7 linked regions of the Canis lupus familiaris genome follow. The protein of the gene in region 5 interacts with the protein of the main gene of each other region in a pairwise test. Links are inferred from orthologs where the notes say so. Each region holds a gene or a part of one and is shown on either strand. Other genes may lie near its edges. The genes, in order: DHX15, SAT1, U2SURP, PPP1R12C, RBM17, SF1 and QRICH1.

Region 1 (3,898 bases), on a different chromosome or scaffold from region 5:
TCTCTTCCTCCATTTGAAGCTACCTTCCTAAAAACTGATCCTCAGCCCTCTAGTCTTACTTTACACATTATCCTGATTGGTCTTATTTATTCTCCTGATTTCTAATATTACCTATAATACATTTGACAATCCTAACTACGTTCCCATCCCTAACCTAACGGTCCTTTCCACTTGAGTATCCCAAATTCAAGAAGTTCAAAACCATTTTGCACCTTCCTCCAAATACTTATTAATCCCTCCCACGTCCCCTAAGATTAGTAACTCCACAATCTACTGTTTATTCTATTACCTTATACAGAGTCAAATTTTGCTATGATCTCCTACAAAGTCTGTCGTCCATATACAGAGCATACAGAGCTTTCTCTTCACCAAACCTGTGCCCCCGTTCACACTCAACTGGCTTTAGTTTCTTATATATGGATATAGCATGAACATACCATATTGCAATGTGGGATCAAGTCCCACATCGGGCTCCCTGCATGGAGCCTGCTTCTCCCTCTGCCTGTGTTTTTGCCTCTCTCATGAGTAAACAAATAAAATCTTTAATAAATAAATAAAATAAAGCTGTTCAGCTTCCCTTTGAACCCAACTGCTCTGCAATCCTAGGTACACAAAAACAAACAAAAAATACCACAAATATTCATCCAAATAATTACAAACCTCTCATTTTGAATTGACTTGACCATCTGCATTAACTGCTACTAAAGAAACTCATCTCTGAAATAAGGTTAACCACATAAGACCACAGAATAGCAGAATGAAATAAATATAGCATTGGCTATAAACAATAGCCAATGGGACAAAGTTCTTAATACTGAGCCCACCTAAATCTACTATGCATAACCACGGACAACCCACTAAAACCTCTAAGACTCTTATGAATCTAAGGCTCATTTTGTTCATCTGTGAAATGGTGATTAACAACTTCCTTGTAAGGTTGTTGACACAAATAATACATACAAGGGACACAGTGCCTAGCTTTATCCAATAGCTAATTAAATACTATGTAGATAAACTAGTTGAAATAATTCTTTTAAATACTAAATAATTCTTTAAAATAAGTTTAAAGTCGTATCTTTTCACACATTAAACTTCCATAAGGTGATAAAAATAAACCTATCAGTTTCAGTTCCTAACATCAATACTAGATTTTCGTTCAGTTATGAAGAAAAATCGTATTCAGTAAGGCTCAGTCTTTCAAAACTTCTTATTCTGGTTGCCACTGTAGCCTTCAAAATGTCTCCATGATATACTCCAATCTAGGTTTGTGGCATATGAAACTTAAATGGTAACTTGCGTATGCAGTACATTCCATTATAAACTTGGGTCACAGGTACATAAACATGGAAAATAAGCCAGGAAGAAACACAGTACAGTCATAATTTCTACATGGTAAGACAAGTTATTAAATTCATTTCGACACTTTCCAGATTTTCCAAATTTTCTACAATGGCCAAGGACTGCTACTTTTGCAATCTCTTAGAAATTTGTGACTGGTCAGGCTCAAACATATGGGAAATATGGTTAACACCTCACTCATAGCAGGAAATGCAAATTAAAAATTATGCTGATACTACTTTTCACATATCAGATTCGTAAATATTCTAATTCCACAGTATAGTCTAATGGATCTACTTGCTCATGAAAAACAACCATCAGAAGCAGCCTAGAGATCGATAACATGGGACCAGTAAACAATGGCTCATCCATTTTTGGAAAATATCCTAGATATATTACTAACAAGATAGTGTTTACTTCTAGGCCAAGTGTAACTAGATGGATGTGGAGGTCATGAATAAAGAGACTTTACTCAGCTCTTCCATCTTTTTAAAAAAAAGGATAATTTTCACATGGTTCAAAACAAACAAGAACAAAAACAAAACTATCCCAGTGGTTCCAAATTTCTACTCAGAGCAATAGAATACTTGTACCTCCAAATTTGTACCACCCCAGAGTCAAAGTGATCAGAATGCATCATTCTGCCATATTTAACATTAACAAAACAGCACTGCTATATTCCCCTAGACTCAGGAAAATAGGCACTCCCTACAGGATTCCCACTCTGTGCACTACAAACATCAAAGTAGCTAGTCTTCAGGATGTTCTAGGAGACAGACAAGGCAGAAGGACTTCCAATCAAATAAGCAACATTTAGTAAATGTAAACATTAATACGGTATGTACTGTGGTACACAATAATAACTCACCTGTGTTGTTTTACCAGACCCAGTCTCACCAACCAGTACAAAGGACTGATGCCTAACCAGAATATCTGTAAACCTATCCTTGTATTCCCAAACAGGGAGCTGAAGCCGTTTCTTTAGAATATCATAGTATCGAGGAGTATGGGGTAAGTTGGTAAATGGATTAATGCACTGTGGAAGTGATGTGTGTCCTGCATGTCCTGTGTGTGTTGAATGAGCAGAATGTGTCGAATGTGTTGAATGTGCAGAATGAGTTGAGTGAGCTGAATGGGAAGCTTTTAAAGGTGGTAATCCAGCACTGATAAGCATAGCATTAGTCGAAGCTCGCAATTCCTTCTCCTTTTCTTTCTCCCTTTCCCGCTCTCTATCTCCTCTATCACGTTCTCGGTCTCGATCTTTAGACCGATCTTCACGATCCCGGTCACGATCTCGATCCTTCCTAAAAATAAAAATTTAGAATTCAGATTCTGAATTTTACGCAAAATGTTCTTGGCAGTGTTATAGTCACAAAGAACAAGAATGTCTAACCACCAAATGAATAAACCAATGAATTATGTAAGTATCAGACATAATGAAAAAGACCTTATAATCAAGAATTCTCCATGCCTCACCCATAAATCTTTTTCTTTCCTTGATGAGACCTCAAATTCTCTTAAGGGACCATCTCTTTCTACACCTTTAGCCACCAGCTGTTGTTACACAAGACTCGGACTTGACTGAGTAAAGTAAAACCCCTTCCTACTTATTTAGACAGTAGAAATTAAAGACTGAGAGTAAGGTGGGGGAAAAGGAGGAGAAAATAAAGCAAGAGGGGGATATGGGCATCACAATTTTCCCCAGATTCTCCCTCAAGTTACATGAAAAGTTATTTTTTGCACTGAAAGTATGTTCAAAATTCAAAACTGCTTCTGGACACAAGGACCATTCTACTTCACATAACAGTAATACAAACATGAGTTAAAGGATTGTAGGTGAGTTCATTTTCAAGTTATGCCTTAAATCAGTTTCCCAATTTTGTTTTATAAGCATGTATTTGTCCTATTAAAAAAAAAAAACTAAAATTAAAACACTTCCTTTTGTTTTCATTGTTTCCTCTTGCATGATATCCTTAATAGTAACTGCAAAACTCTGTAAACCTATGTATACTTTGGACATCTATCAAGTGAAATATAACCACTAAAAAAACAAGCTCCACTGAACAATAGTAAGTTGTCTTAAAATGCTAAAATTATGCAGACGGTCACTATACTAAGCCTAGGTCAACTTTAAGTACTCAGTTCTAGTATCTACTTCCAGTTAGCAGGCATGATTCCTAATACAATAATAATTTTTAAATAAGCTTCAGACCAATTCCTATAGCAAACTTCTACAAGGTATTTGGACCCAGACTTGAAATAGTTGAGGCAATATAGAGCTATGAGACAAGCCACTGAACACCTCAATATTCCTTATCCATAAGACACAAAAGGCATACAAACTTCCCATGCACCAATTATCAGTAGCTGAGTAGGAAAAACCATTCATTCCCTATAAAAGCACATCAGCAGGACAACAGAAACCCCTTGACAGAATACAGCTAAAATTCTAGAGACAGCAGGAGTTAGGATGGCTCCCCAAATACAGAAATGTTAAGCAGATCAATCTTATTTTCTTTTGTCCTCGCTAAAATATAACTGTATTCCACAGGAATTTAAA
Region 2 (4,678 bases), on a different chromosome or scaffold from region 5:
AAGATGTTCAAGGAGAAATCTGACTCCAAACTGCATACAAGATTGCCATCTTCAACAGACCGCATTTCAAACATGCAACAACGCCACTGGTAATAAAGCTTTGGAATGGGTGTTCATTCTATTATTTGACTACAAACAGGATAGAAAGCAAGATCAGTTGAGAACTTAATCTAAAATAGAATGGAAGCTGTCATCGTCTGCACCGGCACACGCCTTACTCCTCTGCTGCCATTTTTAGCAAGTACTCCTTGTCGATCTTGAAGAGTCTCCATCCCTCTTCGCTGGACAGGTCAGAAGCACCTCTTCTTTTGTAGAAGTTGATAGATGGTTCATTCCATTCTGCTACCAAGAAGTGCATGCTGCTGCAGCGACATTTCATCGCAACCTATTATAAGGGAGAGTAAAACAAACTCAGTGACATTTCACCTGCTTTCCAAGACCCAAATCTGTTCCAGTCATTAAAATAATTCAGTAACCCTTACAAATCTGGAAACCAAACCCCCTGCCCCTCCCCCCAAACCAAGACGTACCTGGCTTAGGTTCTTCAGAATTTCTGATCCTATGCCAAAGCCTAAAAGAAAGAGAAGTACCATTTAAAAAGTCATCTTCAGGATGTTAAGTCCTGGTTTCTCTTTAGGGCATCTCCTCCTAAACTCAGCCATACCTCTATAATCACTCATTACGAAGAAGTCCTCAAGATACAACAGTTTGCCAATCCATGGATCATAGGTAAAGTAGTACATGGCAAAACCCACAACACTGTGTCCTGTAATAAGAATATCACATGAGATGTGAACGAAAAGCAACCCATAAAAGTTGTAGCTGCAAAATCAGAAGCCTATCATAGGTTTTAGAAAATAAACATGCATGTATTATAGAAGTAAGTAGGCACTGAAACGGGACTGTCTCCTGATTTTTATGCTAGTGCAGTCCAGGCCACTTTTGGATGATCTCACTGTTCTCAGGACATGTATTTGCAAAAAGCACACATTAGAGCTAGCTGAAGCGAGGCTAAAATCATGGGACTGGCCACTCTGCGATCTGCTGGATCTCACACCCCAGGAAGTGAGACTTTCATTACTTGCCAGAGCAAAACTGCTGTAGTCTTAAACTAAACACACACATTATTCACATCCTATTGATATATTGGTATGTTGACTTGGGAATAAGTCGGGTTTACACGGCAGTTCAGAATAGTAAATATTTGTAGATTAGAAACTCTGCTTCCTTAAGGTCAGGACATCAGGCCATCAAAAGTGTAACGTTTAATTTCAGAACTTGCCTTCCAATTCAGATTTTCAATTTGCTCTCCCCAGTTTTAAGCCAGAAGAAGCAGAGGTACCCAGAAATAGCTCTTATGTAACATCCACATACCTCCAAAAAGTACCTCATCCCTTATGTTTTCCGTTCATTTCTTCTAGCTTGGGGAAGAGACTTAAGAAAAAAGTGAAGCACCCACCCAAACAACTTCCCCTTTTAGCTCTGTCTTCTGACCAGTCAACAGGGACCAGCAAAAAAAAAAAAAATAAAACAATCTGACTCCCTATAAAAATAGGGTGTCTATAATTTCAAATGGAGGCAAAGGTTTCAAATTAAACTTTCTAGCCATTTTATAGTCCTTTGCAAACACAGGAAGAGAGTACACTGGAGTTTCTGATCTACCGTGTTTTAAGTGTGTGATAATAGGACCTTACCTCATTTATCATGATCATCTACTTTATTGTGTAAAGGATCTTTTAGTTACCTCCCCGCCCATCCATGTACACGGAAGGGCCATGTACATGGCGAAGCTAGAGACTGTAACCTGAAGATTGGGACAAATTAAAGAAAAAAATGTGATTTAACACAATTACAAAAAAGGTTACGTTAGGGTCAAACAAGAACTGAATTACAATAAATGACATTATACCTAACCCTTCCAGGTCTCCACAGCATTCTGATACTTACTTAAACAGCTCTTTCAACCCGCCCTATTATTATGTGCAGGACATCTATTTTCTTTTTCCTCAGTAGTTTGAACACTGGCTATTATTTCTGGCCAATTTCTCAGTAACTTTGGCCTGCGTTGTCAGTGGTTCTACACAACAGACACTCTATGTTTTATACAACACTTGGTGTTTGGCTTCTGGAAGCGGGGGGGGGGGGGGGGGGGGGGGGGGGGCGGCGTTACCTTCCGGAGACTGGTGCTCCTTGGGCACTTCTGCAACCAGGCAGTGGTAGAAAGGGTGCTCTCCGAAACCATCCTCTAGTAGATCTGCAAGAAGGGGCATCGGGGACAGTGATGGCCTCGGTGAAGATGCCAAGTACCAGACACCCTTCCCCCGCCCTGGTACAGTCGCGTTACCTTTTTCAGTTAACATTACTTGCTCTTCCATGTATTCGTATTTAGCCAGTTCCTGGGGCGATGCACACGGGAGAAAGGGAGAGAGGGAGAAAACTAAGTGAGGCCCTGGCCCAGGCAGCTCAGAGGGAACGGGGTGGGCGGGGCGGCGATTCGTTCCCAGAATCGAGCGGCCCGGCTGAAGCTGGGGGGAGCGGGCGGACAAAGGGGAACCCGCCGGAGCGGCTCCCCACTTTCCCCCTCCCCAGGGGCGGCCCGGGCCTCCCGCTACCTTGATCAGCCGCAGGATGTCACTGCAGTCGGCGGCGGTGGCCGGGCGGATCACGAATTTAGCCATTTTCGTCTTTTGCTTTTCTTCCCTTTGCGGACCAGGCCCCTGTACTTGAACAGTAGTAGGAGGTGGTTCCTCATTCGTCTCCCCGGAGCGTCCTCTTCCCAGTCAGGCTGGCACCATGACCCGGCGGACCTCGGCGAGCAACGAGCACGTCGGCCAGACTGCGACCAGAACGGCGCGCTTTAGCGGCCGCCGGGTCCCGCTTTTTAGGGCCAAGTAGCCCCGCCTCCGGGCGTGAGGCGGAGGCAGCTCGTCCAATGAGGCCGCGACCGCCCCCCTCTTCCGGGCGCCTCCCCCTCTTCCGGGCTTCCGTGTGAACCCGGCGGGCGCAGGCGCGGGCGCGGGCGGGGGCGCGGGCGGGGGCGCGGGAGGGGCGAGGCGCGCCGCGGGCTTCTCTCGGGGCGCCCTCTCGCGGCGCCTCTCGACGCCTTCCCGGAAACCCGACTTTCTAGCTTGTGCGTCACCCGGTCACCTTTGCGAAAGGAAAAGAGTAGTTCCTCTTGTGAACCCGGGCCGGTGACCTTGCCGTTTCTCCCTTGGCCGGAGGGGAGTGGAACTCAGGAGAACCTGCCTTGGGCAACGTGAGGATGAGAGCAGCGGTTCTCTAAAGTGTGCTGTGGGGGACCCTGCAGATCCCAGGGTCCTTTCAGGGAGTCTGTGTCAAAACGAGTTTCATAATAATAGTGAGGCGTCACTGCCCCTTTTCATTCTTGTGGGAATTTTCCAGAGGCGACCTGATGTGTGTGTGTGAAGTCACTGCTCTGATGACTAACGTAATGCGTGCTTGTATATTCTTGTGTTTTCTACAGTTTCCTAAGGTAAACTATTTGGATTCCTCAATAATTTTTCTCTCATACTTGTAATTTTTAGAGTTAGCACAGCGTTCTTTCCTAATTTTCTTTCCTTCTTATTCTTTGTTAAATCTCTGACCTTCCTTGTGGAAACGCTCTCCTGCCTGACGGGCACTTTTCACAATTTCCTTCAGTACAGAAAAACTTTCTGCGTTGGTTGTCTAAATATGTCTTCAATTCATCTTGAAGGATTTCTTTCACTGTTTATAGAGTTTGGGGTTGGATGTTATTTTCTTTCAGTGTAGTGGTGATGTCAGGTTACCTTCTGGCTTCCATCGCTGTTGAAAGTTGATGTAATCCCTACTTGCTCCATTCTCTGTGCTGCTTTCCCCCCCTTTTCTTTAACTTTTCATTTTCAAATGATCACAGATTTACAGAATGTGTGATGACATTGCTCTGGTGACTAAAGGGATGTGTGCTTGTGTATTCTTATGTTTCATAGAATTTTCAAAGATACGCTTTTTGGATTCTTCAGTAATTTTTAAATGTCCTGAGAACAAAATGTTTCAGAACGGTTGAATTAGAGTATAGCTCTTTTTCAGTTGTTCCCACTGGAACAAGTGTTCTGGCCTCTTGCAGATACAGTTTTTGTTTTACAACCCACCTTCCCAGACAGAGGCCCTGGGGGCTTGCTTTGGCCACTCTGCCTGGATTCCAGGAGGAGCCAAAGCATAAAAGGGGCTCACAGGTTTCTCAGTGTGGAATGAGAGGTGGACTATCACCAGATGACCACAAACATTCAACAATTGTTTCTCTGCATTTGTTAGCAATATCCTGTATGTAAAAAAGAAAGCAAAAGTAGGCTCTTTGTTGCCCTTCCCACCCTCTGGAGATGTTATGCATGGTGAGTCATCTGGGAGTTTATGAAATGTCTTTCTCAAAGATCTTTAAAAATAGCATTGATTTGCATCTACCTAAGCCACGTTAGGTTGTGTCTTTCCTGACACCATGATACATGGATGACCATTCATACTCCCTTCTCTCTACTCTGTTTGGATCTAACTTGTGGGAGGAACTATGAGAGCATGTTACCTGTGTGATTACTGATAACGTAAATTAGACCCTCCATAACTAAGCACTAGTGATAGCTGCCTTGTTGAAGCAATAGCAAGGCTGTTTTCAGTTTGGGTTGCATAGTTTTTTCAGAATAAT
Region 3 (3,898 bases), on a different chromosome or scaffold from region 5:
TAAACACCAAAAAGGAACTCTGAGGAGGAAGTATATATTAATTACAAGAGAGCAACATAATTTCCTACTGCCTCGGAAAACAATCACAGTGAACTACACCAATACAATGATGATCAAAAGAGAACATAGCTTTACAAACAGTTCATGTTCTGTCTTTGGTCTCTTCCTTTATGCCTGCCACTATTTCTATTGTTTCCGTTTATTTACTACACAAGTGGCTAAATGTTCGATAAAAATAGTTATTTTTTAACTCTTATTTGTTCTAGTATAATTTATCAAGAAACTGATATGAAAACTTTCTATACATTAAAGTGGTTTAATGAATGCAGCAAATTTTTTAGAAAATTCTATAAACTAAGAAAAAATTCAAATTATTTATTACTGAGACTATTAACTAACAGAACAGTCCTCTTTTTTTTAATTCCTTACCCTTAATGTTTTATTTCAGGAATATCAGCTTACACCATTATACTTACAATTTTCTATAATATGAAGCATTGGCAACTTTGGCTGAAGAGTTATACAAAACATCAGAAACCAAATATAATCTGGCAATCTAGAATACCAAAAGATAACATAAAAGAGATTAAAAATAAAAACCAGCAGCAAATAATGTATCTAGAAAAAATTCAATACTGAAATTTTTTTGCAATCAGTGGTGTAAGGCTAATGTTTAGCTACAGTAAAAACAGCTAATTAGAAAAGTTATAAGAAACTCAACATTACCAAAGCCACTACTTTGGCAGGGATAAAATATGTAACTTCTTTACATTTCAACCTGTTGATAACCTGTATATAGAATTAACATAACAAGTTTCCCCAGAGAGGAGGAAAATAAGACTACATGGGAAAGATCTCTTCAGTCAAGTTCTTCATGCAAAAACAAAACAAACAAACAGAAAAAAAAACCACCAATTTCAATCCAAAAAGAAATCAACTATTATCTCTCTTTTACTTAATTAAATGTTCCATAAAGAGAAATCACTTCCATACCTTTTTGGGGAGGGGTGTCTTTAAGATGGACAATGACTCAGTAATGCAATCCACTATTTCTTCAGCAGCTTCAGCATTATTAAGACAGAAAACCATTGCATCTCCAATATCATTTTTCCTTGGAGTTAACCCCCGTAGGATTTCTTCTAATTTGTCCCTCTGTCTGAATACAAATGTTTTTAGCTTATAAATATTTACAGATATAAATTTCAAATTCCATTATAGTTTCTGCTCACAAACTAATTTCTTTAAAGCCCAGTTGGATAAAATTCTGAAGACTAAATTGTGTTAAGTCTGATTTAAATCCCCCAAATAGAATACATTTCTTTGAAGAGCTCATGGGGAAAGAATATTTCCTTTGTGAATAAAGGATTCCAGTGATTTTTAGTTTACAAATAAAGTAAATTTTAAATTATGGGCATTTGTTTCAAGAATGTTTGAGAGTGTCCCAGTCCTATTACCCCATTACAGTGGGGGGAAAAAAAAAGGCCTCCATGTTCTTCACTCTCTTTTGAAGTCAGTTACTTTAGCACTTCTGAAATAGAACAGGCTAAAGCAGGTGCTGGCAAACTTGGTAAAGGATCATACAGTATATATTTTAGGCTTTACAGGTCATATAGTCTCTCTTGTAGTTACCTGATTCCACTGCTATTAACATGAAAAAAGCCATAGACAACATATAAAGGGGGTAGGGGGGATCATGATTGTGCTCCAATAAGTCTGTTTACAAAAACATGAGACAGCCAGATTTAACATACAGGATGAGTTTGCAGATCCCTGGGCAAAAGTAATGATGAAAATACCTCTTCAGAAGCAAATATGTTTCAAATACATATAGCTCTGCATTAGCAAATGCTTTTACAAACAATGCATCAATGCAGCTAGTATTCAGAGCATACGCCACAATCTTTTAGCCGATTTTTTCCCATGAAGCATACAGAACTTCCTCTTAATACTTAATAGTACTTGTTTCTGCTTCTTAAACCAGACTAACTTCACTGTACCCATGCTGACTGAACTGAAGACTAACAAATATGTTTTCATGGTGGCCACACACTGCAAACTCTTGTGGAAAGACTGCATAACCAACCATCAGACTTCACAAAGCTCTACAGTAATTTTTTCTTCTTTAATGTTGCATTCAGAGAGCCAAGAATTCTAAAGGTCCCAAGATAATTTCTGTAAGAATCACAAATACTTCACTGCTAGAGAATCATTGCTAAGAGATCACCACCAACCGATGAGAGGTTTAGAAGGTTTTTTATCAAAAGGAGAGAAAAAGGTCAAAAGGACACACACTTATACTTGCCAGGACATTTCAAATTACATAGCACATGATGAGAAATGTTAATATTTTAATCATTCACACAAGTAAAAGAAAAAACATTTTATTTTAGGGCTAACATCTCAGTAAGACCATTAATTAAAGCGATTATTAAAGCAACTTTTCTGAATATGTAACAGGAAAAGAAAAAATTCTTACTCTTCCTTAAGTGCTCCCTTTTTACTGGGCTCCTCTACAAAAGCTTCTGTTTCTTGCTCTTCTGACATCCCATGCAGGTATGGATTTAATGGTGGTGGCCTCCAGAAAGACCCATTTTTGAACATACGAAAATCTTCTGTCCGCCACTTAGTTGGAGAATCTCCCTAATAAATGTCCAGAATGTTATTAGAAAGGCAAAATATCTCAGAGCTAAAGTTAACAAAGTTTTGATTCCACTTACCTGCAGAATAGAATAAAGCTTCCACCTATAGTAAACATGGGCTGGTGTCTGGTTTTCAAATAAGAATCTAAAACAAAACAAACAAAAAATTAAACATCATACACTTTAACAAAGAAATGTCTTCAATTAAATGTAAACAAATGAGAAATATTATTTGCCTATTTCATTTTAAATAAAACCAAAAGCAAAGATCCCTAAAAGAAATCCTCACCCACTGCCTTCTGCCATCTATTCCCTTCTTCACCCTAGCCCCCAGACTGCCTTTGTGATGAACATTAGTTCTCAGAAGGTATGTATGCATCTTACTGAGTCTTACAACCAATTTTATTGAACACTTATGTCAGGTATTATATATGGCAATGGATTTTCCCAAAACAGAAATTTCAAAAGGAGCGGGTTTTAGAAGACTTAGGAGTGTTAAATAAATGTCTTAGATACCATACCTATCAGAAGATAAGCAATTTTCTATAAAGCTCTATTGTTCTACTATGAAGAACTCTTTCACTGGAAAACATAAAGAGTAGTATTTTCCTCCCAGAGACTGCTAAAACCAATGTTATTTAATTAACCTAAATTAAAATCAGATGGAAAACTGACCCAAGTACATCCAGTCTAATTACTAAAACTACCTTCTCAACCCATTGCAAAAATCATCACACACTTTTAGAACTTTATTCTTGGAAATATTTTTAATTCCAAAAAATAAGTTAAAAGTATTTTTTAAGTGCACACCTGAGGATAAAAAACGTGGTAAATACATGCAATGGACTAGATTCAGCTTTAAAAGGTAAAGAAATTCTGATACATGCTTCGACATGGACAAATCTTGAAGATCTGCTTAATGAAGTGAGTCTCAAAGTACAAGGACTGAATGATTCCACTTATATGAGTTAACTAGAGTAAATAAATTCAAAGAGACAAAGTAGAATGGTGGCTACCAGAGGCTGGAAGACCCAGGATATAGAGTTACTGTACAAGGGGTACAATGTCAGTCATGGGAGATGAGAAAATTTCTAGAGATAGTGGTGACGGTTTGCACGAAAATGTGAACGCACTTGATGTCACTCAACTGTACATGTTAAAAATGGCAAAAATGGTACATTTTCTATTATTTGTATATTTTACCACAATAAAAAAAATGCACACCTGAACATAGGATTGTTGATTTCTCTGTTCATAAT
Region 4 (4,482 bases), on a different chromosome or scaffold from region 5:
CGCACACTGAAACACACACAACCACAACCGCACATAACCTACAGGCGACCTACTAACTGCCTTTCAAGCTTCCTGGCAAAGGAGGTGGGGTTCACGTCCCACGCGTGGGAAGCGTGGGGTTCAGAGACTACATATCCCAAGAACTACCGGGACTGCCATTCCCTTTATAGCTATGGCCAGCTTTCCCCAGGCCTCATGGGATTTGTAGTTTATTTCTTTCTACAGGCCCCCGCTACTTCGGAGTGGGTGGGCTCCTCCAACATCCCTTAAGAAAAAAGGCTGTTGCCGCTGTCCAGATTTCAGCGCCTTTTTGTGCGATTTTTACGGGTCTTGGATCCGACCTCAAAGTGCCTCTATCTCTCCTAGCCAGGATTTAGGCGCAGGACACTTAAAGTGAGGATTTTTTTTTTTTTTTTTTTTTTTTTTTTTTTTTTTAAAGTGAGGATTATTTCGTGTTTTAAAGTGCTACGTGGAGCCCCTCACCCAGGACTACAATTCCCAGCATGGCTTGCGAGCATGTAGAGCCTAGACTACATTTTCCAGCGTGCTCCGCGTCGCAGGAGGCCCTCGGAAGAAAGGCGGATGAATGAAGGTTCTGGGGGCGCTGTCCTTGTGGACCCCGCCCCTTGGGCCCCTTGACTGGATGTGATCCAGGGGTCACCATGAGGGACTTTGGACTTCTCCTGTCCTTGGGCCTGGCTTTTTGGGGGGCTTGGGATTCTGCCTAGGACGTACTGTGTTTCCAGGGGCGTGGCCCTGAGAACTACATTTCCCGGCGTGCGCTGGCGCTGTGGGCCGATGGCCATGACCTCTGACTGCCCACTCTATCTCCCAGCATGACCTGGGTGGCCACTCCGGAAAGCTGGGATTTGGGATTGCCCTGAAGGGTCTCCGGGTTGCGGGGCGCCCTGGTGTTTCCCTTGACCTCGGGAATCCATTAATTACTTCGTGCAGAAATTAACTTCGGTCTCGCAATTTTAAGCTCCATTCTGGGTCCTGGGGATAAGGGGCGCTCAGAGAAGACAAACGTCCTTGCCCTCCGGCCGCTTATTTCTAGCTAAAGGGAGCTGACCAAAGAGCCCACAATTAATGAATTATGTGGGAAAATGAGCGTTATGTCCTTCCCGGCTCCCGGCCCCGTGGAACGTAGCAGTGCATTTCCCAGGGCGCCCCCGCCCCCACTCTCACTCCCACCCCCACCCCAACCGTCCACCGGTCGCCTGGAGCGGCGGACTTCCCGGTGCGCCTCGGGGCGGAGCGAGGCAGGGAGGTTGCCATTAGCAACTTCCGCTTGCGGACTCCATTTCCCAGCGCACCCCGGGGAGGCGTGCTGACGTCGGCGCTCCGGGCGGGGGCAGACTGATCCTCCGGCGGCGCGGGGCCAGCGGCAGTTCCCAGCGGCCCCGGGCGGGCGGCGGCGGCGGCGGCGGCTCCTCCTCGGGGCTCGGCGTACGCTCGCTCGCTCGCTCTCCCGGCGGGCGGGCGGCGCGATGTCGGGCGAGGACGGCCCGGGGGCGGGACCGGGGGCCGCGGCGGCCGCGGCTCGCGAGCGGCGGCAGGAGCAGCTGCGGCAATGGGGGGCTCGTGGGGGCGCCGAGCCAGGCCCCGGGGAGCGGCGCGTCCGCACCGTGCGCTTCGAGCGCGCCGCCGAGTTTCTGGCGGCCTGCGCGGGCGGCGACCTGGACGAGGCGCGCCTCATGCTGCGCGCGGCGGACCCCAGCCCCGGCACCGAGCTCGACCCCGCCGCCCCGCCGCCCGCCCGCGCAGTGCTCGACTCCACCAACGCCGACGGCATCAGCGCCCTGCACCAGGTCAGCGCCCCGGCCCCTTCCGGGACCTGGTCCGCCCTGGGTCCGAGGCTCCTCGAGCATCCTCCCAGCCTGAGTCACGGTCGCCAGGCCTGGTCTGCGCCCCGCTCTCCGCTCCCGCCCACCTCGAGCTCCCCGCTTGCAGCCTTGAGCCTCCTCCTCAGCCGGCCCTGGTCTCTGCCACCCTGCGCCGCCCTCTCCCTGGACCCGAGCCACTGCTGACAGCTTCAGTCTGGTGCATGCCTCTGGTCTTGGTGGTGGTCACTTGGCGCCGCCTCCTCCCGACCCTGAGCGCGCCTTACCAGCCTCGTCGGTGTCCCGTCTACTGTGGCACCTCTTAGAGCGATAGTACTTAAATCCCCTGTACCCCGCTGTTCCCCTTTCCAGCCGGGTACCACCCTCACTGCGCAGCAACCTCCTCTCTGGCGCCTAAGGAGCTTCCTCCCCTAGTCCCCGGCCTGTGCTACATCTTTGGCTAGGCCCAGATCTTCCATGGTGCTGCTGCACAATGCGTCCTCCTCGCCATTCCTTCTCACCCTTGGGCAGTGCCATCTGTTGCTGTGTGAGGATGCTCTTGCTTGAGCCACTTTCTTCTAGGTCTGGATCACCTCATCCTATGTCCACCCAGATACTGGCTGCGTTCTCTTTCTGGAGGCTGTGCCACCTCTGGTCTCTCACAGTAGGCCTTGTGTCAGGGATGTGTCTTCCAGGCACCTCCTCGTCTCTTGCCCCTTCCCCTTGTCTAGGCCTGTATTCTTGCCCTTTTTTGAGGGAACCTCAAAGCACCCGATGCTCTATTCTGGGTCATCTTGCTTTCTCCTGTGCATTTGGGCAGCTTCTCCTGTAGACTCTGTGGTCTCTCTGGCTCTTGTCATACCACCTCCACGAGGGGTTCTAGAACCCTGCTGGTTCTCTCCTCCACAGCATGGCCCCTATGCCTTTCCAAGACTCCCTGATTGTTGCCTCCAGTGTTTCTGTGTCCCAAAACGAGGGCCACCTTACGCCCCAGGACTCTCTCTGGTTCTGGATGCATTTTTCTGCTCCCCCCCACAGTGGGAGCATCAGGGACAGGACTGGCCACAGGAGAGCCCCCACCCCCTGTCTCATCCCTGAGACCATGCCCTTCCTGGATGAGTCCTCAGCCCTCTCCTGCCTGCCAGAATCCGTGGGGTTTGGTAATTGATGGAGCCAGAGAAGACCCTGGGAAGGAAAGGCTGGTGGGGGAGGCAGGGATGTTTGAGGAGGCCCACTTCTCAGGTCCCCACGAAGTGAGGAGTAGTTGAGAGAAAGCAGAATTGTCTAAGTCCTAAGTTCTAGTTTCAGTTCCTCAGCCTTGTGGTTACAAAAGTTACTGTCCGTTCTGTGCCTCAGTGTCACCTGTGCAGCAGGACTAGCGGGCAGCCCTTCTTGGCAGGGCTCTGGTGAAGGAGGGAGGTGGCCTGTATGGAAATCCCTTCAGAAGCAGCAGAGGCATTCCTCTGGGGAGTTGTGCCACCTGGTCTGAGTGCCACCCCTCCCCTCTTTCTCCTTTCCAACTCCTAGGCCTGTCCCACCCAGAGTCTTTAGTGCTGTCTGGGAAATTGTCTTCCACCCAGAGGAGGGTCCTGCTTCTTTGAGGCCTTGTAGAGTACTTGCAAGCCCAAGAGAGGGGCCTGAGGCTCCTATACCCCCTTCCTCTTCCACCATCCACACCTTAGCTCCGCTCGACTTTCCCTTGGGCACTCTTGGTCCTGTTCTTCAGGCTGAGCCCTCCTCTGTCACCCTCCTGGGCCTAGATCCTTGCAAAAGGCAAGTCTGACCTGGCCTGTCAGGCTGCCCTTTCAGGTGCAATCTTTCCCCTTCTCCAGGCAAGCAGTTGGTAAACTCACTTTGCAGGTGGCCTGAACGGTTAGGGCTTTGGGGGTTCAGAAAGGGGAAGTTCTTGCCTCAGGTCACATGGCCAGCAACCGGGCGAGCTGGGGTTGGGTCAGATCTGCTGTGGGGTGACCAACTAATGCTGGTTTGCATGAGACTGGCCTGGTTTTAGCAGTGAAAGTCCCAGACAACCTGGGACAGTTGGCTGCCTCGTCTGGGTGAGTCCTGGGGCTGTGGTTTCCTTTCTGAATTCTCCCTGGAGTGGGTCCCCAGGCATCAGCCCCCTGCTCTGGTCGTGTGCCCAGAGTTCTCAGATCCCAGTGCCTGCTTCAGATGGGTCCGTTAACCACTTGATAAAGCCAGTTTCCTCTCCCCTTTCCCCAAAATTGCCTAATGGTTAGGTCTGGTCTGGAATAGAAGGGATCGGGAGCCACGGTTCTCAGGTCTGAATAGGGAGGATGGAAGCTGGGACTCCTGGGTCTGGGTTGGGGAGGGTCTTGGAGTCTTGGGTCTTGGGGAGAGGGGCTTGGACTCCTGGGTTTGGGGGCAGGGAGGCTTTTGGACTTCTGGTTCTGGGTGGTGGGGAGGAGCTTGGGCTCCTGGGTCTGGGGAGAGGGTGGTGGCTGTCGTCTGGGTTCTTGAATCCCTGGTGCCCAGGCCTTGGGCATCTTTCACATGGATTCCTGTGCCTAGCCAGGTCCTTGAAAGGGAAAGGCCCATCTCTCTCCTCGACACCCCCCCATCACCATGACAACCGGGTGGAAATAAACGAAGCCGAGTTCATCCCGTTCCCAGGGCACGTGTGGCCCCCCTTTCACGG
Region 5 (3,898 bases):
GTGGCGTAGCTCAGCCACCTTCAGGCTTCTCTGCTCTGGATCAGCTTGTTCAAGTGGAATTTGTAAGGAAATTAATGACATGTAGGAAACCGTGTAGGTGCGCTGTTACTTAAAACAGGGTTTTGTGATTCAAGCTTGAAATAGCAGTAGTTGCTGCTGGACTCCCTGGAGACCCTTGAGGCGCCTCCAGGGGCAGTTTGAACGCTCAGTACTAAGAGCTGTGGGCAGGTTCCAGCTTCACTTTACCATAAGCACCTCTGAAGGAATCTCTAAATTGGGGGTCTTGCTTTGCTCAGAGTCAGCCTTAAGCTGGTCAACTAATCTGGGCCTCAGTATCTTCCATTTTCTCATCTGGTAAATGGATGCGCTCTAAGAGTTCTTTTGTTTATAAGGACTGTCATCAAGAACTCTACTATTTAGAAAAATGTAGTTGTCTTCATTGTGTGAAAATCATGCTTGTTTTTTGACGGGCACACTTGGAAGTAAACCGTGGTCATAAATTGTATAGCAGTGCAGTCTCTGGAGCACACAAGACGTCTGGTGTTTTCTAACAGTGATACTGGGAGAATTTGGGGAGAATATGGGCATTTTCCTTACCTCAGAGATAATCTCAGGATGTCCAGGATTTCAGCATTAGCTTTTTCCATTTTTTTTTTTTCATCCTGAGTATCCCCACAACCTCCAACGATTGGCCCGTTGGTAATTATGTGTGACCACATCGAAACCCATGTGGGATTTAGACTTTTTCGAGGGTGATTGCTATGATATAAAATTGGTTTATGCCATAGCTGGTGATTTCAAGGCCAGGAAATCCTTCTCTTTTCCTTCCTCCCAGTGGCACAGTAGCACATAAAATCATGCAGAAGTACGGCTTCCGGGAAGGCCAGGGTCTTGGGAAGCACGAACAAGGGCTGAGCACAGCACTGTCAGTGGAGAAGACAAGCAAGCGAGGAGGCAAGATCATTGTGGGTGATGCCACAGAGAAAGGTGGGTCTGCTCCACGAGCAGGGCTTCTGGGGTGGGAGCACGGGGAACGTGGTCCAGCATGAGAGGACCACCCCTCTCTGGAGTAGACCAAGAATATGCGATTATGATGTATTCCAGTTCTGTGTTGTGGAAACAGAGGCTCGGGAGGCTCATTGGAACAGATCTAGAGATAGGAAGGTTCATGGGGGAAAAGACGATAGACTCGCAGAAATAACACTCAGAGAAGTGTTTTCATGCCTATTTGTACTATGCAAAGACCTTGTTAAACTGGTAAAATCAGAGTTATGGTTTTAGAGCATGGAAGAGCCCTGTGCATTGTGTCCGTGATGGTACTGGTGTATTTCCATCCTCTATGAGTTTTTTACTTTTTGCTTTTTCCTACCCTTTCAAGTGTGATTTCTCATTTTCTTACAGATTGATTGCTCTGTGAAGTCTGGTGTTATTTCACAGTCTGGTGGTAGATGATGCCTACTTGGTGTTTTATTTTCATCTTATTATTATGTTCTGTTCTGTGCCCAGGGCATATTGAAATGAGTCAAACGTGTAGCTTCACATTTTAAAAAGAATTGAGTTTATTTTGAGTATCTTAGTTTAGCTCCCTTTCTTAAGGAAAGAAGAAAACTTTGCTGGCAGCCCTGTCAACACATGGCCTGATGAAGCAGCTGGTTGGCCTGACAGGCTAGAAGCCAAAATCAGCCATCGCCCTGATTTGTAGGGTATATGAAGTTAGTCTGCCAGTGGCTGGCTAATTCACTGCTTATTATATTGGACTGGTGACCTTTGGCCACACTGCATGTGCCAATACTCTGACCTGTAAGGTTTGTGGTCTGTGCTCTGTCAACTGTGTGAACTAAGGAAGTGACCCTAAGCAAAAATCCCAGGTAATTAGAGAAGCTGAAAACTTGTAGAAATTATGGTAAAAACCTATACTGAAGCAGAGCAGATATTTTCATCATGGATAAGGCGACATTTTTGCTCAGAGACTGATTGCATAAATGCTTATAGATGAATCTAAGGACATAAATAGTGGGTACAAGTACTCTTGAAATTAAATTAGTCATTGTAACTTGGACTCCGTGTTCTAACACGCCTACGTCTTAAATGTTTTGCTACAGATGCATCCAAGAAGTCAGATTCAAATCCATTAACTGAAATACTTAAGTGTCCTACCAAAGTGGTCCTCCTAAGGGTAAGAAGCAGAATTGAAGAAACCCGTTTTCCTACCTTGATTTTTGCTTGTCACTCCACCTTGATCCATCTTTGCATGCTTTCAACCCTATTGATACAATAACAGTTAAAACTGAAAATAATTTTTCTGCAAATGATTGTTCTGGATAGATGCCATCTGAGGTTGATATCTTAGGTTCCCTTTTCACTAATGTTTCTTTGCTAAATGCAGTATTCAAGACTGCAATGAGTAATTGCTTTAAAATATTTGAAGTCGTTAGTTCAGTTTAGTTTATCTATTTTAGTTTATCTAGCATAGATGCTCTTGTGACTCTATGAAATTTAGTGTATGTGTGTGTGTTTAGTGTTTCTCAAAAGATTTGCTTATTTCACCTATTAATTTTACAACAAAATGTGTTCACTTTTGCCTTGAGCGGTAAGTAAGCCATGTTTAACTTGGGCGCCTGTCCATGTAGGATACTCTTTCAACTCAAAGTGGAACATCAACTCAAAAAATTATTTTTCAGTTAAATGAGTAAAGGGAATAAGAGTGTACCTCTGTACGGCGTTACGTACTGTGAGCTCATAATTTGCTTTAATTCAACGTGTTAAAAACCATAAATATTTTTTTTGTTAAGAAATACCAACTTTTGGATACTACAAGAATGAAAATTCTCATTGTGTCATTTGGGATTGAGAACATTTGCCATCGTGAAACAAAGTTATTTATTCATCTTTATTTGTAAATTACACTTGAACTTATTCATTTTTGTTCATAGAACATGGTTGGTGCAGGAGAGGTAGATGAAGACTTGGAAGCAGAAACCAAGGAAGAGTGTGAAAAATACGGCAAAGTTGGAAAATGTGTGATATTTGAAGTAAGAGGGCTTTCTTTTGATTTTTGTAACCCAAGTTGTAACTGACAGGTTACCAGACATTTTCTGCAAATAGAGACAAGTTGTACCGTGAGTAACATCGTCGAAGGTCACAGATGATGCTTAGATACACTTCGTTTACATAGTTATAACAATTTTAAACATAAAGACAGGAAGGACTTCACATTTTATTTGGTGAAGAAATTAATTATTTCCTTTTATGATTGAGGTTTAGTTTGATGACTAAAGACTACTGTCATGTGCTCAATAGTTGAGTTAGTTGGACGTACCTTTGGTTTCTTTCATTTGGCAACCGTAAATTTAGTGCCTCCCACATGCTTTTGGAAGACAGGAAACATGTCTGTGCTCTCAGTGGTATGTTCAATTGAAGAAACAACAAAAAAGCACATGTAAAAATAGGGAATGTTCAGTTGCTAGACTCTGTAGTATTCACTATAAATACAGGAGTCAAGAAAAGGATTTGATCACAAAAAATAGAGCAAGCTTTGTGAACAGTATCAGATTTGGGTGAGCTTAGAATGTATGGGTAGGATTTGGATAGGAGGAATAGGTATCCTGACAGGGTCACAGCTTCTGGGAGACTAAGGGGGCTGCAGAGTGGAATGTTTGGGAGTGCTGCGAATGAACGGAGTGGGGGTGCTTACCTGGGAATGAATGGGGGACATGCTCACCATGGGGCCATGTTATACCAGACTTGGAGAGCGTGACAGAGGAACTTAAGCAAATGTGAGAAGCAATTAGAGCACAGATCTTTTCATCTTAAATTTCTGCTCCCACTGCTGCTTCTCTTCTATATCACGTTCTGTTTGTTGACTGCATAGTGATTTGTTTAGGTGTCGACTGGCATA
Region 6 (4,624 bases), on a different chromosome or scaffold from region 5:
ACACCTCAAAACTCTCAGCAATTAAAAAATGTAAGAGATTATGATCCTCAAGAATAACACATGCCAGCCTTGAAGCTTTTTATCTGTAAAGGCTACAGCCTCCCAGGCCTAGGCGGCCTTTGCCCTAATTTACTCCAAAGGGGATGTTTATTTGGTTAGTAGGAAATGCTTATCAAGTGAACTTTTTGGAGACAGCTGGAGATACATGAATAAAGGTGAAACTCGCATTAAAAACCTTGTATTTAAAAAAAGGTAATTTTGAGGTTAACTTCATTTACATTGTGGACAATTACTATAATTATTGTCTTGAAATTTCCCAACAGTTAAGATCTTTTTTACCCTATCACCTCATGCCATATCCAAGTAGTACCCCTTTCCCAGCAGAATTCTTTGATAATAAATAGTAAAAGAGCCTTCGTTTTAAGGCAGCTCTCCAAAGACCAAACCAGAAAAGATGCTGAAGGAAAGGTTAAATTCAACAAAATCGTAAAAAGGGATGTATACTGCCAACACTTTCAGGACCACTCTTTGATTAAACTGAGTTTTTCAGAAAGTACCTATAAAAAGTAAAAGACCACATTTGAAGGGGAGGGAAGAATATGAAATGGTGAAAGGCCATGCTGTGAAAAAGGTACTTAGTTTATAATACCTGCAGTGTTCTCCACTTGGGGCCGTGTCCAGAGAGGCAGAAGACACTCACCTCACCAACGGGCAATGAACAGCAGCTGAAAAGTGTAGGGTGGGGTACTGGACTGGGGACTACCCTCACTCCTAAATGGGTCCCTCTACCTTCCTGGCACTCATGGAGAACACTGCTGTTACGAACAGACCGAAACCAGGAGCTTCAAATGCAGGACTTACAGAGCAAAAACTGATGGATTATGTCGAAGTCATAAAAGTACACCTGACCATACCTCATCTCAAAAGAACAAGACTTTAAAGTCTCAAATTTAGGACACATAAAACGCTGCTCAGAATAAGTCATAACAATCCGAAAACATATTTGGGTGCAGAACGTGTATTTACCTATATAAGCTCTTTCTTGTTCCCGAGTAAGTCCAGGGGGGATGACTGTAGGCATTCCTGGAATCACTGTCTTCTGTTCCATTGTATCTTGGTTCCAGCGGCTCCTCTTCCGCTTCTTACTTGGGAAGTCTAAAGGCAGAGAAAACCCATCAAATACAAATATAAACCAACAAACTAACTACCAACAGGCAGTTCACGATACTTATAATACTACACACAACCTCGGCAGACTGGGAAACTGAGAACTTGACCTAAAACGTAAATGGCAAAAAATGGAAGACATACCCAAGAAATCAGAGACACACAGCCGCCACAAAGATACCTGGCTCTGGGTCCAAAAACATATTTCATATTTATAACATATGTCAAAAAAACGTGAAGTATGTAAACAAGCTAACAAATCTTAATCCCTACAGTTTCAGATATGCAACATCAACCACAAATGTTTTAAAAACCCCAGGGGAGACAAAATATACCGAATAATCAGATGTGGTAAAGTATGCTGAGAAAACTGTTGGTTCTTCCCACCTCCAAACCCCACCAGCCACCTTTCTAAAGGGACCAGAACACAACCAAACTTACAATTTACTAAGTGAAAAAGCCCAATTCTTCAAAAAGCTCACTTTTTTCTTCAGAAGTTTAGTCAAGATAAGCATTCAGTTTTCCTGGCTAATTTAGACACTTAACATCAGAACTCCTAAATGAGGTATCAAAAGTTCAACAAAATACAAGCTATCCAACAGCAGCCAAATACTCCTCCTCCAAAACAGAAGCGTAAACTTTCTACACATCTGGTACACACAAATCAGTTCTACTTGGAAAGCCCCAACAACTAAGGGGAGACATATCAGACTTCTCTAAGATAAACGAATGGAGATTAGGAAAATATTCCTTCCTCCAAAAGTGCACCGGCTCCAACCACACCACTGAGGATTTTTCGAGCTCTTCCTTTCACTGCAGTAAAAACTTCGCACAGAGAGATAAATTACTCTCGCTTTCCTACCTTTTGGACTTCTCTAGAATCAGAAAGGTGCTCCACGTCATCAATTGACCCTTTCACGCCCTCCCGACACGCACATCCCTCAACCCGTCCACCAATTCAACCCGCTCGACACCCCTCTCCTGTACCAAGCTGTAGAGAGCAACACAGAGCCCCCCCACCCCATTTCCATTTATTATCGGGCCACAAAGCCCGGCAGCCATACTGCGCCTGCGCACAACACCCTCCGCGCTCCACCCCCCCACCCCTTCCAGTGCGCGTGCGCACTCGGGGCCCGAGAACCGGGCCGCGCGCCCCTTGGCGCCTCCGCCCGGGGCCTCCCCGTGCGCGCGCGCGCCCCTGCCGCGTGCAGCCGCCGTCGCCGCCGCCGCGCGCCCCTCAGGCGGCCGGGCCCGTCCGCGCGACGCCTCTCGCGCTCTCTCGGCCCGACTCACCTCCTCCGCCGCCGGCCGGGCCCGGCTGCTGGTCCTGATGGGGTGGCGGCGGCTGCGGCGGCGACACGCGCTGGTAGAGCGGCGGCGGAGGGGGAGGCTGCGGCGGCGGGTACGAGGAGCCCGGGGAGGGCGGCGGCGGCGGCGGCTGCTGGGGAGGCGGGGGCGGCGGCGGTGGCGGCGGCGGCAGCGCCGCGAAGGGGAAGGCCGCGGTCAGGGCTCCCACCGAGCCCACGGGCGGGGGCGGCGGCTGCCCGGGCACCAGCAGCCCCGCCCCAGGCCCGGGAGCAGGCGGTGGCCCCGGCTCGAAGCCCCCTTTGGGCCCGGAAACGGGGGGGAGGCCGGGGGGGCCCAGCTTACCCAGCGGCGTGGCGTTCGCTCCGGTCGCCATGGCGCCCCCGGGGACCGGCACCGGCGGCTCCTTTTAGGCGGTGGTGGCGGCGGCGGCTTCTTCGCGAACCTTCCGGGGGGAGGGGACCCGACTGCGCTGCCGCGGAGCGCGCGGAGCCCGTCCTCTCACGCGGCGGGCGGCGGCGGCGGCGGCGCGAGACGCACAAAGAGGGAGGAGAGAGGGCGCCGCGGGGGCGGTCCGGGGGCGACGGGTCCGAGTCCTGGATTGGGCCGAGCCCAGGCAAGGGGTCGGAATCGGCGGCCTCCGATTGGCGGAGCCTTAGCCCCTCTCGATGCACGCTGGGATTGGCCGGACCGTTAGGCCGGGGGGAAGAAATGGCGGCCGAGCCTGGCGAGCTGGGAGGTGTCGCAGCGCGCACTTCATTTGTTACTGCGCGAACTGAGCTCGGAGTCCAGAAAGGAGGGGAATGGGGCGGGGCAAGCTCTGTGACGTAGGGGGCAGGGTCTTTCTCATTGGTTGAAGTTGATTGGGTCAATGCTCGGTTGCGTCGTAGTGTCATGGGATTGGCTGTCGCTTGTCCGGTTCTTTTTCTACTCCTCCCCCGGGGAGCAGTTTCTCTGGGATTAAGCGAGAGGTCGCGGCGGTACCCGGCAGAACGAGATTTACGGCCGGGGAGGAGTGGAGAGGAGAGCGCATGCGTAGATGGGGCAAGGCTGCCTCTCCGACCTTCGCTTCATGGTCGACTCCTTGGTCCGGCGCGGAAGCCCTTAGTGACGTTAAGTCTCGATTCCCATAGTAACCCGGAACCGAGGGACGGGGGAGGGGCTGGCGCGCGACCGTAAACCGGAACCGTTGACGCGCCGCAGGTAAAAAGGGACTTCCTGTTTTCTTAAAAAAAAACAAAAAACAAAACAAAAAAAACAACTATAAAATAGTCTATTTGAAGGATCAAAGCGATACTGAGCCTATGGAAGAACACATCATCTTAGGCAGAAAACAATAATAATTCGATTTCAAAATTAATTTGCACAACAAAAAAAAAACCAAAACAAAAAAAAAAACAAAATTAATTTGCAAATACATTGTATTTCCATAGAATCAACTAGGTTGGGGGTTGATTACATCATCTTAAAGTCATATAATTATGAGAATAGTGGGGAAACCTGTAAACGAGGTTGAGGAGGAACTCGCTTTTCGGAATAGTGTGCAAGACACTGTAATGAAACAATGTGATTTGTTGAAGGAAAGACAGATGAGCGCGACAGAATAGACCAGAAATAGATTCCCCATGTGTAGATTCAGTAAAGATTCAGCTAACAAATGGTATAGGATCTTAAACAATAAAACAGACCTAAAATAACAATATAGGAGACCAACAGGGTTATCTAGAGGTGGAGACTTAAGGAAAACAAGAAACTCAGACTAGTAAATATATACTTGATCACTAAAGAAATTAGAACTGTAGGATAAAAGCCAACAGATAATAAAACATTAGGAAGATATACTTGCCACACATGATAAAGGGCTAATATGCAAAGAAGTCTTAAAAACTAATTAGGAAAAAAGACAAAAACAATATAAAATGAGCAAAGGCTGTGAATAGACAAATTTCGGAAGAGCAAATTCAAACCGCAAAAAAAAAAAAAACATGAAAAGGCACCAGACACTGCCCCCCTGCAGGAAAATGCAAATTAAGGTGATAATGAGGAATCTAACCATCAAAATAGCAAACAACAAATGTGCTAACATTACTCAATTTCTTTTTTTTTTTGGAAACCGTTCTGTTGTCTATTAAAATTGTACCCCTTTCAAGAA
Region 7 (3,898 bases), on a different chromosome or scaffold from region 5:
GGCAGGCGCTAAACCGCTGAGCCACCCAGGGATCCCCAGAGGGAGAGAATCTTAAGCAGACTCCCCACTGAGTGCAGAGCCTGACAAAGAACTTGATCCCATGACCCCGAGATCATGATCTGAGCTGAAATCAAGAGTCCAAAGCCCGAGCCAAGTGAGCCACCTAGGTGTCCCAACAATTAAGCAGTTATTTAATCTACTCTCAGAGTTGTGCAACCTTACATCAGTTTTAGAACATTGTCATTACTCTAAAAAAGAAACACTATGCCCATTAACAGTTACTTTACATTTTCCCCAGTCCTCTGCTCTTAGACAACCACAAGTCTACTTTTTATTTCTTTAGAAGTCCTGTTTTGGACATTCACATAAATGGACATGCAATATTTAGTCTTTGTGACTGACTTCCTTAGCATAACGTTTTTCAAGTTTCATCTAGGTTGTAGCATATATCAAAATGTCATTTTTGGGATCCCTGGGTGGCGCAGCGGTTTGGCGCCTGCCTTTGGCCCAGGGCGCGATCCTGGAGACCCGGGATCGAATCCCACATCGGGCTCCCGGTGCATGGAGCCTGCTTCTCCCTCTGCCTGTGTCTCTGCCTCTCTCTCTCTATCTGTGACTATCATAAATAAATTTTAAAAAAAAATTAAAAAAAAAAAATGTCATTTTCATTGCTAAATAATACTCTGTTCTATGGAAATGGTACATTTTATTTATCAATTTATCAATTGATGAACATTTTGGTTGTTGCTACTTTTTAGCTATTATGAATAATGCTACTATAAACATTTTTTGTGGGCATAGTTTTCATTCCTCTTGGGTATATACCTAAGAGTGGAATTGGTGGGTCATGTGGGTTGTTTTTCATAAGTTTGTCATATGGTATGTTTAACCTTTTGATGAACTGCTAGACTTTCAAAGCAGCTACACTCCTACCAGCGATATGAGGATTCTAATTTCTTCACATTCCTGTCAACACTTGTTACTATCTTTTTTTTTTTTGTAGCTGTCTTACTGGCTTTCAAGTGGCATCTTACTGTGGTTCTGATTTACATTCCCATGACAACTAATGATGTTGAGCAGCTTTTCATGTGCTTATTTGCCATTTGCCGACCTCTATTCAGATTCTCCCTCATTTTTTTTGTGTATGATATGAAGAAGTATAACTTTATTGATTTTATATAGATAACCAGTTATCTCAGCACATGCTTGGTTACTTATGTGATGTGTCTCCTGTTATTACATAATCTCTCATCTGCCTTCTTTTTACCTTCCTACTTCGTACCAGTATTTAGAGTTTAGATATGTGTGTCTGAAGGAAAAAAATCTTTTTTTTTTTTTTTTTTTTTTTTTTTTCAGATTACAGGCAACACATGGCATCCTTTCATGATGCTTTGTATGCCAAGGTAACAATAATAAGAAATGAGCTGCATTATTGTTAGAAATGTGTGTGGTTCAGGATATAGTAACCTTCCTTAGATTAAATTATCAGGAATCTTTGTGGGGTTTTTTTATGGGCTTCTTTATTAAAACAAAGCTATTAAGTAGCTGCATTTTAGTAGCAGTGTTGGGAGATCTCTCCAAAAGGGATTTCAAGAGTTTTGTTTCTACTGTTTTTCACTGATCTGTGGTAGGAGTAGTTTTGATTCTGGGTTGAGAATTGCATGCCTTGAAATGTACTTACCTTAACAGAACATTCGTCCCCACACTTTTTATCACTCAGCCTATGGATAAACAATTTTTTAAACATACACCAAAATATATTTTTGTAAATTATATACATATATACCAAGGTGCAAAAATAAAGGGTGTCACATTTTAAAACAAAAGTTAAAAATAAGCAGAAGTTCTGATATTTTCATAGATCCCAGTTGATAGTCCTGCTTGCTCTGGTAGATACTTGTTGCTTCGAATGCCGTGTGATGCTGGAGGATTTTGCGTATGATTTTGGGGGTTGTGGTCTCCTCAGAAGCCTTGGGTATAGCAACCCCTCCTCCTCACATCACCTAGGGCTTCTGCCTGAGATCTCTTCCTTTTGGGGATGAATCCTTAATGTTGCCTGGTTCACTCACTGCTGAATCTTGTTGCCACAGGTACAGGTGCAGGTACAGCAGTCTCCACAGCAGGTCTCGGCTCAGCAGCTCTCCCCACAGCTCACCGTTCACCAGCCTGCTGAGCAGCCCATCCAGGTCCAGGTGCAGATCCAAGGCCAAGCACCACAGCCGGCAACCCCTTCCATCCAGACTCCGTCTCTGCAGAGCCCCAGCCCCTCGCAGCTGCAGGCAGCGCAGATCCAGGTGCAGCATGTGCAGGCAGCCCAGCAGATCCAGGCTGCAGAGATTCCAGAAGAGCACATCCCACACCAGCAGATCCAGGCTCAGCTGGTGGCTGGCCAGTCTCTTGCCGGGGGTCAGCAGATCCAAATCCAGACCGTGGGTGCCCTTTCCCCACCACCGTCTCAGCAGGGCTCACCCCGGGAAGGAGAACGGCGGGTTGGCACAGCCAGTGTCCTCCAGCCAGTGAAGAAGCGCAAAGTGGACATGCCCATCACTGTGTCCTATGCCATCTCAGGGCAGCCAGTGGCTACTGTGCTGGCCATTCCACAGGGCCAGCAGCAGAGTTACGTGTCTTTGAGGCCAGACTTACTGACAGTAGACAGTGCCCACTTGTACAGTGCCACTGGGACCATTACTAGCCCTACAGGAGAAACCTGGACCATCCCTGTTTACTCTGCCCAGCCCCGTGGGGATCCTCAGCAGCAGAGCATTACCCACATTGCCATTCCCCAGGAAGCCTACAATGCAGTTCACGTCAGTGGCTCACCCACGGCCCTGGCAGCTGTAAAGCTGGAGGATGACAAGGAGAAGATGGTGGGCACCACGTCTGTAGTGAAAAACTCCCATGAAGAGGTAGTGCAGACCCTTGCAAACTCTCTCTTTCCAGCACAGTTCATGAATGGCAACATCCACATTCCAGTGGCTGTGCAGGCTGTGGCAGGCACCTACCAGAACACAGCTCAGACTGTCCATATATGGGACCCCCAGCAACAGCCACAACAACAAACCCCCCAGGAACAGACGCCGCCGCCGCCACCGCCACAGCAGCAGCAGCAGCAGCTCCAGGTTACTTGTTCAGTAAGTGAGACTTATCTAAAGGGCAGCCTGCTTCCCCAGGGCCCTGTGCAACACAGAACTTTCCTGGCAACCTCTGGCTTGTTTACTGCAATGATGTTGGTCTTGCAGTGATATAATATTTAATAGTTTAGTTGGGGTCGAGGAGGGGGAATAGAAGCAGCAGTTGAAAGCTATACAATAGGCAGGAGTTCTGTCCTAGTACCTGGAGATAGATACCTTGGATCCTTTTTTTTTTTTTTTTTTCTTTTAAGATTTTATTTATTAATTCATGAGAGAGACAGAGAGAGGCAGAGATACAGGCAGAGAGAGAAACAGGCTCCATGCAGAAAGCCTGATGTGGGACTGGATTCTGGAACTCCAGGATCATTCCGGAACTCCAGCTGAAGGCAGATCCTCCTTTTTAAAGAGGATGAAAGAAAGGTGAAATTCGTTTTTTAAAATCACATTAAATCACAATATTTTTATTTTATTTTTTTAGATTTTATTTATTCATGAGAGATAGAGGGAAAGAGGCAAAGACATAGGGAGAGGGAGAAGGAGGCTCCACGCAGGGAGCCCGATGTGGGACTCAATCCCAGGACTCCAGGATCGTGCCCTGGGGCTGAAGGCAGGCGCTCAACTGCTGAGCCACCCAGGCATCCCAGGTCCTTCTTTTTTTAAGAAGAGTAAAGTTCTAGGGAAAAATTAATGGGACACACTGAGTGTTGTCTGATTTTAATAACTTACTTTCTGCATCACAAATGAATGGATCTTGTGGAACCCTGTAA

What was found.
Region 1: the proteins of RBM17 (region 5) and DHX15 interact in binary tests that used the Homo sapiens proteins (3 or more experiments, as listed by UniProt). The link is inferred for Canis lupus familiaris from reciprocal best matches to the Homo sapiens genes RBM17 and DHX15.
Region 2: the proteins of RBM17 (region 5) and SAT1 interact in binary tests that used the Homo sapiens proteins (3 or more experiments, as listed by UniProt). The two-hybrid records come from large-scale screens. The link is inferred for Canis lupus familiaris from reciprocal best matches to the Homo sapiens genes RBM17 and SAT1.
Region 3: the proteins of RBM17 (region 5) and U2SURP interact in binary tests that used the Homo sapiens proteins (3 or more experiments, as listed by UniProt). The link is inferred for Canis lupus familiaris from reciprocal best matches to the Homo sapiens genes RBM17 and U2SURP.
Region 4: the proteins of RBM17 (region 5) and PPP1R12C interact in binary tests that used the Homo sapiens proteins (3 or more experiments, as listed by UniProt). The two-hybrid records come from large-scale screens. The link is inferred for Canis lupus familiaris from reciprocal best matches to the Homo sapiens genes RBM17 and PPP1R12C.
Region 6: the proteins of RBM17 (region 5) and SF1 interact in binary tests that used the Homo sapiens proteins (3 or more experiments, as listed by UniProt). The link is inferred for Canis lupus familiaris from reciprocal best matches to the Homo sapiens genes RBM17 and SF1.
Region 7: the proteins of RBM17 (region 5) and QRICH1 interact in binary tests that used the Homo sapiens proteins (3 or more experiments, as listed by UniProt). The two-hybrid records come from large-scale screens. The link is inferred for Canis lupus familiaris from reciprocal best matches to the Homo sapiens genes RBM17 and QRICH1.

What each region holds. Positions count from the first base shown.
Region 1 is NC_049224.1:86,154,926-86,158,823, reverse strand, and holds part of DHX15 (pre-mRNA-splicing factor ATP-dependent RNA helicase DHX15), read right to left. Parts: intron 2,643-3,898; coding exon 2,207-2,642; intron 1-2,206.
Region 2 is NC_049260.1:19,542,960-19,547,637, reverse strand, and holds the start of SAT1 (diamine acetyltransferase 1), read right to left. Parts: upstream 2,874-4,678; 5' UTR 2,679-2,873; coding exon 2,613-2,678; intron 2,397-2,612; coding exon 2,345-2,396; intron 2,255-2,344; coding exon 2,171-2,254; intron 767-2,170; coding exon 665-766; intron 572-664; coding exon 531-571; intron 386-530; coding exon 215-385; 3' UTR 1-214. UniProt on the Homo sapiens protein: Enzyme which catalyzes the acetylation of polyamines. Substrate specificity: norspermidine = spermidine >> spermine > N(1)-acetylspermine. This highly regulated enzyme allows a fine attenuation of the intracellular concentration of polyamines.
Region 3 is NC_049244.1:39,158,104-39,162,001, reverse strand, and holds part of U2SURP (U2 snRNP-associated SURP motif-containing protein), read right to left. Parts: coding exon 3,864-3,898; intron 2,785-3,863; coding exon 2,718-2,784; intron 2,641-2,717; coding exon 2,477-2,640; intron 1,157-2,476; coding exon 994-1,156; intron 557-993; coding exon 477-556; intron 1-476.
Region 4 is NC_049222.1:103,259,866-103,264,347, forward strand, and holds the start of PPP1R12C (protein phosphatase 1 regulatory subunit 12C), read left to right. Parts: upstream 1-1,490; coding exon 1,491-1,811; intron 1,812-4,482. UniProt on the Homo sapiens protein: Regulates myosin phosphatase activity.
Region 5 is NC_049223.1:28,863,920-28,867,817, reverse strand, and holds part of RBM17 (splicing factor 45), read left to right. Parts: intron 1-835; coding exon 836-987; intron 988-2,102; coding exon 2,103-2,176; intron 2,177-2,933; coding exon 2,934-3,032; intron 3,033-3,898. UniProt on the Homo sapiens protein: Splice factor that binds to the single-stranded 3'AG at the exon/intron border and promotes its utilization in the second catalytic step. Involved in the regulation of alternative splicing and the utilization of cryptic splice sites.
Region 6 is NC_049239.1:52,884,636-52,889,259, reverse strand, and holds the start of SF1 (splicing factor 1), read right to left. Parts: upstream 2,849-4,624; coding exon 2,461-2,848; intron 1,156-2,460; coding exon 1,027-1,155; intron 1-1,026. UniProt on the Homo sapiens protein: Necessary for the ATP-dependent first step of spliceosome assembly. Binds to the intron branch point sequence (BPS) 5'-UACUAAC-3' of the pre-mRNA. May act as transcription repressor.
Region 7 is NC_049241.1:40,521,243-40,525,140, forward strand, and holds part of QRICH1 (glutamine-rich protein 1), read left to right. Parts: intron 1-2,090; coding exon 2,091-3,131; intron 3,132-3,898. UniProt on the Homo sapiens protein: Transcriptional regulator that acts as a mediator of the integrated stress response (ISR) through transcriptional control of protein homeostasis under conditions of ER stress.